Linked DNA regions of Arabidopsis thaliana. The protein of the gene in region 1 interacts with the protein of each later gene in a pairwise test. Each region holds a gene or a part of one and is shown in the gene's direction. Other genes may lie near its edges. The genes, in order: SWI3C and AT3G01890.

Evidence for each region.
Region 2: the proteins of SWI3C (region 1) and AT3G01890 interact in a two-hybrid assay, tested with the Arabidopsis thaliana proteins (one study listed by BioGRID).

The regions. Positions count from the first base shown.
Region 1 is NC_003070.9:7,619,315-7,626,053, reverse strand, and holds SWI3C (SWITCH/sucrose nonfermenting 3C), read left to right. Parts: upstream 1-1,887; 5' UTR 1,888-2,075; coding exon 2,076-2,091; intron 2,092-2,229; coding exon 2,230-2,760; intron 2,761-3,286; coding exon 3,287-3,825; intron 3,826-3,981; coding exon 3,982-4,339; intron 4,340-4,431; coding exon 4,432-4,505; intron 4,506-4,700; coding exon 4,701-4,786; intron 4,787-4,881; coding exon 4,882-4,949; intron 4,950-5,050; coding exon 5,051-5,226; intron 5,227-5,322; coding exon 5,323-5,898; 3' UTR 5,899-6,053; downstream 6,054-6,739. Other genes in the region: OGG1 (8-oxoguanine-DNA glycosylase 1), read right to left, coding at 185-427, 544-754, 972-1,615; AT1G21695 (hydroxyproline-rich glycoprotein family protein), read right to left, coding at 6,269-6,739. UniProt on the Arabidopsis thaliana protein: Component of a multiprotein complex equivalent of the SWI/SNF complex, an ATP-dependent chromatin-remodeling complex, which is required for the positive and negative regulation of gene expression of a large number of genes.
Region 2 is NC_003074.8:307,813-312,654, forward strand, and holds AT3G01890 (SWIB/MDM2 domain superfamily protein), read left to right. Parts: upstream 1-2,194; 5' UTR 2,195-2,519; coding exon 2,520-3,844; intron 3,845-3,908; coding exon 3,909-3,960; 3' UTR 3,961-4,261; downstream 4,262-4,842. Other genes in the region: AT3G01880 (vacuolar sorting-associated protein (DUF946)), read left to right, coding at 1-1,748; CYP94B2 (cytochrome P450, family 94, subfamily B, polypeptide 2), read right to left, coding at 4,547-4,842.

The DNA.
Region 1 (6,739 bases):
TACATATCAAGATTGGTTCCTTAGTAAACAATGATCATAACAAATAACTACGCTCATTTGCCAGGGAGCCAAATACTGCATCAGCTTCAGAATTTTCTTAGCTCTTCCAAGGTCAAGTTTCTGGACTTGACGCATCAAGAATGGGTTGTGAAAACGATTCCTCGTAGCTTAGGTAGACACATAGTCATGGCTTCAACGTATCACAGCTAGTTTCATTAACTTCTGCAGACTCATCCAGTTTGTTAATGGGCTGGGAAAACGATTGCAAGAGAGTTTTTTGTGCAGGTAACTCGGCAATGAAAAGCAATGTTTGAGCCCAACCAGCATATTCACCATATTTACTCACAAAGGCTTCTGCAACTCGGCCATGGAGTTTAGGTGTCAGTTTTGCACCAGCAAGGTCTGGCAGTAGATAATTTGTTGCGATCTGATCCATTATCCAAAACAGAACAAAAAAAAAGTTGCCCGAAGTCATCATCACCATTATGTAATTGGATCTCAATTAAGTAAGTACAATACATAGAAACCGATGGACTTTGTTACCTGCCAGACATGTGTGTCAACCGGAATAGCACTATGCTGATCAAGAGAAAACAGAGCTATGCAAGCTGCTACCTTCGGACCAACACCAGGTAATGTACACAGCGCAGCAACTGCCTCTTGGAGTTCGACTTTGCGCAGAGAAAGAAGCCATTCATTACCACCACCTGGCTTTGCTTGCAAAGCATTCACTGTACCTGTTATGTATTTGGCTCTGCTCACCACAAGATAAACCAGAATGAGAGTTTTCAAATGAGATCAGAACCAATCAGAGAAACGGCCACACAATGATTATCTAGCTTAGACCAAACATTAGCTTCAATTCTATGAATGTATAGCCACAGAGTAAATAAAAGTATAAGCTTCAAGCAAAGTTTTAGCCTAAATGTCTAATTCAACATAATGCAACCATTAGAGAGTGATGAAATCACCTGTAACCAAAACCAGCCTTTCTAAACTCTTCCTCAGAAACCCTAGATAATCGATCCAATGATGGGAACTGATGAAACTCAAATCCATCAATGTCACCCAAATGTAACCCTAAAGACGAAACAAAATCCACCATCTTCGTAATCCTCGCAATGTTATTGTTCGATGAGCACAAAAACTGTATCAAGCACTCGAGCGGATCCTGCCTCAACACACGAGCGCCACGGAGATGTCTCGCTAGCTCTCCGAAACGAGGATCTTTTTTCGAGAAATCAGACCATAGCTCAGCTAACGAGATCTCAGCATTGAGAAAATCGAGCAACGCAAGCTCCGCGGATTTAGGGCTTGTGCTACAATGGACGCAGTAGGAAACTGCGTCGTCTCCTGGACGTTGTCTAAGAGAGACTAAGTGAGGCCCAATCGTTCCGCTATACTGAATCGCTCCAGTTTTCTTCCACCGGAATGTTTGACCCGTCGGAAAAGTTAACGGCAACGTCAGCTCCGTGTGGGTTAGTTTTAACGGGAACCATTTAGGTGTTCCTGTTCTGTGTAGCTTCTGTTTGAGAATCGGTGTGACCGGCGGAGACAGTGGTGGTTTGACGGTGGAAGAGATCGACGGCTGAGATGTAGGTCGAGGTCTCTTCATCGCCGTTGCTCGTTAACGGAACCACCACACCAGTATTAATGCGCGACGGTCGACTAATGTATCAATTTAAACCGGTTTAACCAATTTGAACTTTAAGAACCGAACTAAATAATTGATTCGGTTTTTCTCATTCAAAATTGAAAAATAAAACCGAAGTAAAGTTGACTTTAACCGAAGTTAAACCAAAATTTGGATTGGTCAACGAAGCTTGAATTTCGAAATCAGAACCCTCTTGTTTGTCGAGAAGGTTAGGTCGTCGTGGAGAATGAATTAATATATAGAGATTAATGAAGGAAATGGTGAAAGAAATTGCGAGAAAAAGGTTTGGTGTTTAGCTCGAGAGCTGGAAATCAGAACGACTCGGAGGAGAGAAGACAAAGAAAGCAATTCTTTTTACTAAGGGTCTTGCTTCGATTCCACAGAACCCAAAACCTCTATTTCTCTATCTTCATCCACAAAAATGCCAGCTTCTGAAGGTAAATTGCTGTTTCACATCTTTATCTCTCTCAAAATCCAAATTTAAATTGGGATTTGACTTACCCACATAGATCGTAGTGATGGGTATTTCGAGAATTCGTGTGAATTGAATTACACTTTTTACAATTCTGTCGCAGATAGAAGAGGGAAATGGAAAAGGAAGAAGAGAGGGGGGTTATCGGCGGCGAGGAAACCGAAACAAGAGGAGGAAGATATGGAGGAAGAAGACGAAGAGAATAACAACAACAACAACGAAGAAATGGATGACGTTGAAAATGCCGATGAGCTTCAGCAAAACGGCGGCGCAACTCCCGATCCGGGACTTGGTATTGGCGAGGTAGTTGAAGATTCTGGTTCGCGCATCTCTGATTTCCCGGCAGTGGTTAAGCGTGTTGTGATCCGGCCACACGCGTCTGTAATGGCTGTTGTGGCGGCTGAGAGAGCTGGTTTGATAGGGGAGACTAGAGGGCAAGGTTCACTTCCAGCTCTGGAGAACATTTCGTTTGGGCAATTGCAAGCGTTATCTACTGTACCTGCTGATTCTCTTGATCTTGAGAGGAGTGATGGATCGTCTTCGGCTTATGTTATCTCTCCACCACCTATTATGGATGGAGAAGGAGTTGTTAAACGGTTTGGGGATCTGGTTCATGTCTTGCCTATGCATTCAGGTGTGTTTTTTCTTCCTCTTGATACGCGCATTTATGTTAGAGGTTAGGCTTTATGCAGCATCAGCTTTTGCTGGTTGGTAGTATTGTAGTATATATCTTGTGATTGGAATGAGAATTAGTCAAAACAGGTTTGTATGCCGGTATCTCCTTAACGTATAAGTTCTTATCTTCCTTTTGTCTAGTGCCTGGTTCTTAGTTTACATTAATCTGAACGCGACTCAATTTCATATCAGATGTTTCTCTATGTTCCCATGTTCTGTCTGATGGAAAGGAAGAGGTATTATAACTTTTGTACATGATAAATTAGAGTACCTGCTGGCTTGAAGTAGCCTTAGGTGTCTTATCTCAGAAGTACAACTTGAATAGACTATGCAAGTGATGTTCTTCTAATTCGTTTGGGTTTTGTTCCTGGAGTCCTATGGCTCAAATATATCGAGATTCTCCTCTTATTTTATTTTTATTTTCTGATATTTTTGTTCCCAATGCTCGAATTTATTCTTCTACTTTTGCTGTTACATTTGAGCAGATTGGTTTGCACCAAACACAGTAGATCGACTTGAAAGGCAAGTGGTGCCACAGTTTTTCTCTGGGAAATCGCCAAATCATACACCCGAAAGTTATATGGAATTCAGGAACGCCATTGTTTCCAAATATGTAGAGAACCCTGAAAAGACACTGACGATTTCTGATTGCCAAGGATTGGTAGATGGTGTTGACATTGAAGATTTTGCACGAGTTTTCCGTTTTCTTGATCACTGGGGAATAATCAATTACTGTGCCACTGCCCAGTCACATCCTGGCCCTTTGAGAGATGTATCGGATGTGAGGGAGGACACAAATGGCGAGGTCAATGTGCCGTCTGCTGCTTTAACATCTATTGATAGTTTGATCAAATTTGACAAGCCCAACTGTAGACACAAGGGGGGTGAAGTCTATTCATCCTTGCCAAGTTTGGATGGTGACAGCCCTGACTTGGACATCAGAATTCGTGAACACCTATGTGATAGTCATTGCAACCATTGTTCTCGACCGCTTCCAACTGTGTACTTCCAATCGCAAAAGAAGGTTCTTAGGCTGCTTCCCCTTACGTACTGTTCTTTGTGTATCATTATCTGATTCTTTTTTGCACCCAGTGATGTAATAGACTCCAAGCTTTATCTTGCTTACTGTCTCGGATACTGGACCGCTTCTAACTAAAGGATCTTCATCTCTACTTTACAGGGGGATATACTCTTATGCTGTGATTGTTTTCACCATGGAAGATTTGTTGTTGGACATTCTTGTCTTGACTTTGTAAGAGTGGATCCAATGAAATTTTATGGCGATCAAGATGGAGACAATTGGACTGATCAGGAAACTCTCTTGCTTCTTGAAGCTGTGGAACTCTACAATGAAAATTGGGTTCAAATTGCTGATCATGTTGGTTCCAAGTCAAAAGCTCAATGCATTCTTCATTTTCTTCGATTACCTGTGGAGGATGGTCTATTAGATAATGTTGAGGTTTCTGGTGTAACTAATACGGAAAACCCTACAAATGGATATGACCACAAAGGAACAGATTCAAATGGGGATTTACCTGGTGATTTTGTTTTATTCAATTTGTAGCAATGAATTACTTTCCATAGTTATTTCCTTTGACATGCCATACTAATTGTCCGCTTGCGTCTGCAGGATATTCCGAGCAAGGTTCTGACACTGAGATCAAGCTTCCATTTGTGAAGTCTCCGAATCCGGTTATGGCATTGGTTTGTGAACTTTTTTCCGATGCAGATTTCATATGCGCTTCTTATTATCCTTATGATCTCACCAGTTAGAGATATCTCTGATCCATGAATCGATTATATCTGAGAGCTCAATTGTATGCATATTTTGAGTGGAGAATGGTCCTGTATTGCACATAAGTTTGGAGATATGAGGATCCTGATACCAAAATATTTTAGGTTGCATTTTTGGCATCAGCTGTTGGACCTCGAGTTGCTGCGTCCTGTGCCCATGAATCCCTCTCGGTTTTATCTGAGGACGATAGGTTAGTGTATTATATAGTCTCTATCCAATATAAATTCTCTGTAGTGTGATTCAGTTTAATAATACTATGGACTATTCTGAAACTTCTTGATCTAGGATGAAATCTGAGGGAATGCAAGGGAAAGAAGCCAGCTTGCTTGATGGAGAAAATCAACAGCAAGATGGTAAGGAAGTTATTTGATTGTTCTCTTTACAGTGATTCTTTGCTCTTTTGTTTTAACCTAATCTGCGACACCAACATGCTTTAATTGTAAAAAAAACTCAGGAGCACACAAAACATCAAGCCAAAACGGAGCAGAAGCGCAGACTCCACTGCCACAGGATAAGGTTATGGCAGCATTTAGAGCCGGTCTATCAGCTGCAGCAACAAAAGCAAAATTGTTTGCTGATCATGAGGAACGCGAAATCCAGAGACTTTCTGCTAATATCGTTAATCACCAGGTAAAATAGCAGAACCAGTTGCTGATGAGAATTACTGTAGGTAGTTGATTTATTTTGTTGTATAGTGTTTATTGCTGATCTGAGTAAAAACCGCAGCTGAAGAGGATGGAGCTGAAATTAAAGCAGTTCGCAGAAATTGAAACACTGTTGATGAAAGAATGCGAACAAGTAGAGAAAACCCGTCAGAGATTTTCTGCAGAACGGGCTCGTATGCTCTCAGCAAGATTTGGATCTCCTGGAGGAATCTCTCCACAGACTAATAATCTCCAAGGCATGTCTCTATCCACAGGTGGTAACAACATCAATTCTCTCATGCATCAGCAACATCAGCAACAACAAGCTTCCGCAACTTCTCAACCAAGCATAATCCCAGGATTCAGCAACAACCCGCAAGTTCAAGCACAGATGCATTTCATGGCACGACAACAACAACAACAACAACAACAACAACAACAACAACAGCAAGCTTTCTCGTTTGGCCCGAGATTACCTCTCAATGCAATACAGACCAATGCAGGATCAACAGCTTCACCAAACGTCATGTTTGGCAACAACCAACTAAATAACCCTGCAGCAGCTGGAGCAGCATCGATCAACCAGCCTTCGTTTAGTCACCCGATGGTTAGGTCTTCCACAGGTTCAGGCTCAGGGTCCGGCTTAGGCTTAAACTAAGATCCATCTTTCTCTAGCTTATTTAGCTTATCAGTATCCATATTTATTTCACCTTGTTATTTTTAAAGATAAGTTATTTGGCTTTGAGACCGTAGTCTTGTTCCAAGTTAGTGTCTTGTAGTATCAAACCATCATCATCATCATTGTGAATTAAAACAGTCACCAATCTTAATGTCTCTCTTTCCCACAACCATTTCTCTACTCTTCAAACATTAGGGGTCTTTTAACTCGATTCATTTTGACGATAATATATAGACAATTTCATTACAAATCTACATGTAACATATTCGTTCTTGTCGCAATGAAAAACTCAAAATCATTTTTATTTGATTAATCTCTAAGATGTTTTTTTTTTTTTAAGCCTAACCATTTAACCAAGGCGGGAACGAGCTATCATTAACATGGTTTTTTTCTCATAAGAGCTTAAATCCGAATCAGTCCGTTTTAGCGGCGAACCACGGCGAGAAGAGAAGGACGATTTCGGCGAACTCCACCTCGAAGATACCGGCGATCCCTGGCTAGAATCTTCTTCCGACGGAGAAAGCGTTGTTCCCGATTCATAGAAATTGTCAGACTCCGATGTTGTTGATGATGGTTCCTGCTGACCGGTCTTTTTTAAATCGCCGCTCTTACTCTTTTTCAACCCAAATAATGACTTGGGAAAAAAACACCGAGGCAATGAGCCACCGGCACGAGGAGAAGAAGATCGGAAATATGGAGTCGGAGATGCTGAACAGTTGGAGTCGGAATCTGAAGGCGATTTCAGCTTGAAAGACGGAGGAGGAGCGAAGGGAGAGACTGGTCGGCTTCTGGATTCAGAGAAGAAAGAAGAAGAAGACGA
Region 2 (4,842 bases), on another chromosome or scaffold:
TTCTATTGTTTTTTGTTTTTCTATTTGTTAAGCAATTGTCATGGGCAGAAACTGGAACTAACCCTTTGACCAACATTTCCTACGTAAATTCTTTAGGGTATCCATTCAAATATCCTTATCTTTCGTCTAATGGTTTACCGGTGGAAACAAGCTTTAAATTTCCTAGTCCTTTGCCTAGTATGCCTTCCGATGGTGGAAATTTTGGCAAAAGAAGCATTGATATGGGAGGTCTTGAGGTTACTCAAATCTCTATCTCAAACTCAACATCACACAGAGTGTGGAGAACTTATGAAGGAGGGCCGGATAACATGGGAGTCAGCATCTTTGAACCAACTACTATTCCTCGTAATTTCTTCAAACTTGGCTTCTATGCACAACCTAACAACCGACAGCTTTTTGGTTGGATTCTTGTTGCAAAAGACGTATCGGGAAGTAATTTAAGACCACCAGTCGACTACACTGAAGTTGGAAACACTACAACATTGCTTATCAAACAAGAGGGGCCTGCATATTTTTGGCAGCCCCTATGTCCTAATGGATATCATGCGGTTGGTCTATATGTCACTACTTCTCCTATGAAGCCCTCTTTGGGACAAAATTCTATAAGCTGTGTTCGATCTGATCTCACAGAACAGAGTGAAGCCGATACATGGGTATGGAGGATAAAAGATATGACTATTTCTAGTTTGAGACCGGCCACGAGAGGAGTAGAGGCGACAGGTGTGTTCACAGGGACATTCAGCTGCAAACAACTAAACTTTCTTCCTCATCCCCCTCCTTTATTCTGCTTAAAAAATACAAAATTTGACTTGTCAAGCATGCCAAGCGAAAATCAAACTAGAGTTTTGTTTAAAACGTATTCTCCTTGGATATATTTACACCCAAAAGAAGATTTCCTTCCTTCCTCTGTCAATTGGGTTTTCGCTAACGGTGCCTTGCTACACAAGAAAGGAAACGAATCCATCCCGGTCCCGATACATCCAAATGGTTCAAACCTTCCACAAGGAGGTTGCAATGATGACTTGTTTTGGTTAGATTATCTAGTCGATAAAAAGGCTAGAGAAAAGGTTAAGAGGGGAGATTTAGAGAGCACTAAGGTGTATCTACACATCAAACCAATGTTTGGAGCTACTTTCACAGATATTGTAGTATGGCTATTCTTTCCCTATAACGGAAATGCACATTTAAAATTTTTGTTTATCAAGAGCCTGTCGCTAGGAAATATTGGCGAGCATGTTGGAGACTGGGAACACGTTACATTACGCATCAGCAACTTCAATGGTGAGTTATGGCGTGTTTACTTTTCTGAACACAGTGGAGGAACTTTAGTGGATGCATGCGATCTAGAGTTCATGCAAGGTGGAAACAAACCAGTAGTATATTCGTCTCTTCATGGGCATGCAATGTTCTCCAAACCTGGAGTCGTGTTGCAAGGTGGCGGCAAAAGTGGAATAAGGAACGACATGGCAAGAAGCGACAAATGCTTTGACGCAGGTATTGGATATGAAGTGATTGCGGGACCTGGCGTGGTTGAGCCACCGTGGCTGAATTATTTTAGGAAATGGGGACCTCGAGTCCATTACAGGATTGACATATTTCTCAACTCTGTCGCAAAGATTTTGCCCATCTTTTTACGGAAAGGTTTGCGAAAACTCATCAACAAAATTCCTTTAGAAATGCGGGGTCAAGATGGTCCAACTGGTCCCAAAGTTAAGGTGACTTGGACCGGTGATGAACAATATTCTTAGTGTTTTATTGTGAATTATTGCATTATGTTATATATCAATAAGGTTTACATTTGTCGAAAATAATCATTGTAATTTCTAATTAGTAACAATAATACTATAGAATCTGTTAAGAATTAAGATGTAGATGTGCTAATTAAAAATTTTAGAGTTATTTGGGAAAAAAAAAGGTTGTCATGATCTTAGTTTTAGAGTTAAAAAATAGTATTTATCTGGAAATAAATTGGTGTAGATTATTAAGAGTTTTTTTAAAAATAATTTGGATTAGATTTAATTTGATTTTTTACCTATAGTCATGGAATTAGATTTATTGCCGAGAAGCAATATTGATCCATCTAAATATGGACCCACGAACCATGGCCGTTGGGCCTTTAACTAATGGTTGGGTTTTGACCCGGTTGAAGAATTCAGGTGGGCATTGATAGGTCCGCCGTGTCTTTTTTTTTTTTTTTTTTTCGAAGAAGAATCATCTTCATCTTCTTCTTCCAGAGGGAATTGAATTTGTTTTCTTTCTCCTGGAGTTGAGATTATACGCTTTCTGCTGTATTGAAGAAGAAGAAGTTGTGTCCTATATCTTACTATTTAGATTTGGGGGGAAATTGATTAGGGCTCTATCCTCGCGCAGCACTAAATTAGGGTTACGTTCGGCTTAGAAAGGGCAAAATTCGATAGAGTGTGTGTGTTGTGATTTTGATGAGGTTCTTCTAGCCAAAATTACTGAGTAACTACTGTCGACACCAATTTGGGATTGTATTCAATTTTTTGTGATCAGCAATGTCTGGGAATAACGAGTTGAACGCACTAAAAGGGCCTCAAAGCTCTCTGCCTTGGCCATTTGGAATGGCCTCTGCATCGTTTGCTCCCTCCCACATGGCCCCTCCTAACTTTCAACCTCAGTTTCAGCTCTCTCAAGACCAAGGGATTAGTGCTCCTGGAAGAAGGTTCCCACATAAACCTCCCATTGGAGGACCTCCTGCTGTTCCTCCTAGTATGGAGTTGACTCCAGCTTCCAGGAAAAAGAAACATAAGCTTCCAGACAAGTCCTCCTTGCAGGAGCGCGTTGCTGCCGTCTTGCCCGAGTCTGCTCTCTACACACAGCTTCTTGAGTTTGAGTCTCGGGTTGATGCCGCTCTCTTCAGAAAGAAAGTTGACATCCAAGACTCCCTTAAGAACCCTCCTTCCATTCAGAAGACCCTTAGGATCTACGTTTTCAACACCTTTTCCAACCAGATCCCTGGTCCTGACCCTCCCACATGGACTCTTAGGATTTTCGGCAGGGTCCTGGATCCTGACCACACTGGTGGATTAGTTCAGAATTCAAACCCACTTTATCCCAAGTTCTCGTCTTTCTTCAAAACGTTAAAGATATCCCTGGACCAGAGCCTGTATCCTGAGAACCATCTGATCGAATGGAAAAGGGATCGATCGCCTGCTCCTCTGGAAGGGTTTGAGATAAAGAGGATAGGGTGTCAGGAGTTTGCAGCTACTATACTGTTGGAGATGAATTACGTCCCTGAGAAGTTCAAGACTTCTCCTGCTTTGATGCAAGTTTTGGGCATTGAGGTTGACACTCGCCCAAGAATCATTGCGGCAATCTGGCATTACGTGAAAGTCAGGAAACTGCAAAACCCAAACGACCCTTCTTTCTTCAACTGTGATGCTGCTCTCCACAGTGTTTTTGGGGAAGAGAAGATGAAATTCACTATGCTCTCTCATAAGATATCTCAGCACCTATCACCTCCGCCTCCCATTCAGCTTGTACACAAGATCAAGCTTTCGGGGAACAATCCAGCCATCTCAGCATGTTACGATGTGCTTGTGGACATACCAGCACCGGTCCAAACGGAGCTTTCCAATCTGCTCGCTAATCCAGAGAAGAACAAAGAGATTGAGGCATGTGATGAAGCCATATGCGGAGCCATAAGGAAAATCCACGAGCACAGAAGGAGACGGGCGTTTTTCTTAGGGTTTAGCCAGTCACCGGTGGAATTCACCAATGCCTTGATGGAATCTCAGACCAAAGATCTGAAGCTTGTTGCAGGAGAAGCAAGTCGAAACGCTGAGAAAGAAGGCCGATCAGAGTTCTTCAATCAGCCATGGTAATAATCTCTACTGTTCTGCTTTTCATCACTTGTCTTACAATCACTGAGAATTCTCTTGCAGGGTGGAGGATGCTGCAATACGTTACTTGAACCGGAAGCCAGCAGGCGGGTAAGATGCAGATGGGCCAAGAAGTTCATGAGTTCACTACTTTTACCTAGAAGTCACTTAGGTCCAGGACACTTGATCAGTGTCGTTCCTTATAGGTTTTTTTTCTAAGTGAAACATTGTTACTCAAGTTTCAAGAGTTTTTACTTTGGTTTGTAGCTCGTGCATCATATGCGACAAAATATAAGAAAGATAAATACTTGACTTTTTCACTTTCTTTTGTAGATTCCACGTACTGACTTCCAATTGGCTCGATCTAGTCTTGTAGAATAATAATAACGTACGTATTATTATGGATAGAAAAAGACCAAGGCATTGTGCTCTCACGTTGAACTTTTAATATAGTCATCATCCCAAGATGATAACAAATGCAAAATGGGTCATTTTCAAACAAAAATATAATAACTGAGCTAATATTGGTTGAATTTTCTTCAAAACTCAAAAATTTAGTAGAGACTTTATGACTTGGATTGAAAAAAAAAAAAAAAAAGTTGAGTTGTTTACCCAAAGGAGAAAATAATTTTGGGTATGAATGATCATAGAGACGTTTTACATAAAATAAAAAGCCATGATAATTGACTTTGTTTGTATATTCAAGGGGAAAGAGAAGGATCTCTCCGATGAACGCGGACTTGCATCCCACCAGCCATGTGAGCCGTGAGCATTGGCACAAAATCCGGTTTATCCGTAGGGATCGGTTCAATCTCAAACCGGTCAAGTATGGAAGCCACAATATACTTCATCTGCACGTACGCCATCTCTTCCCCAAGACAAACCCTTGGGCCGGCTTGGAAAACCGGAAACTTGAACGGATTCACCTTTTTCAAAACTCTGCAGCAGGTTTTATCATAAGACTCAGCCCACCGGTTTGGTTTAAACTCATCCCAAT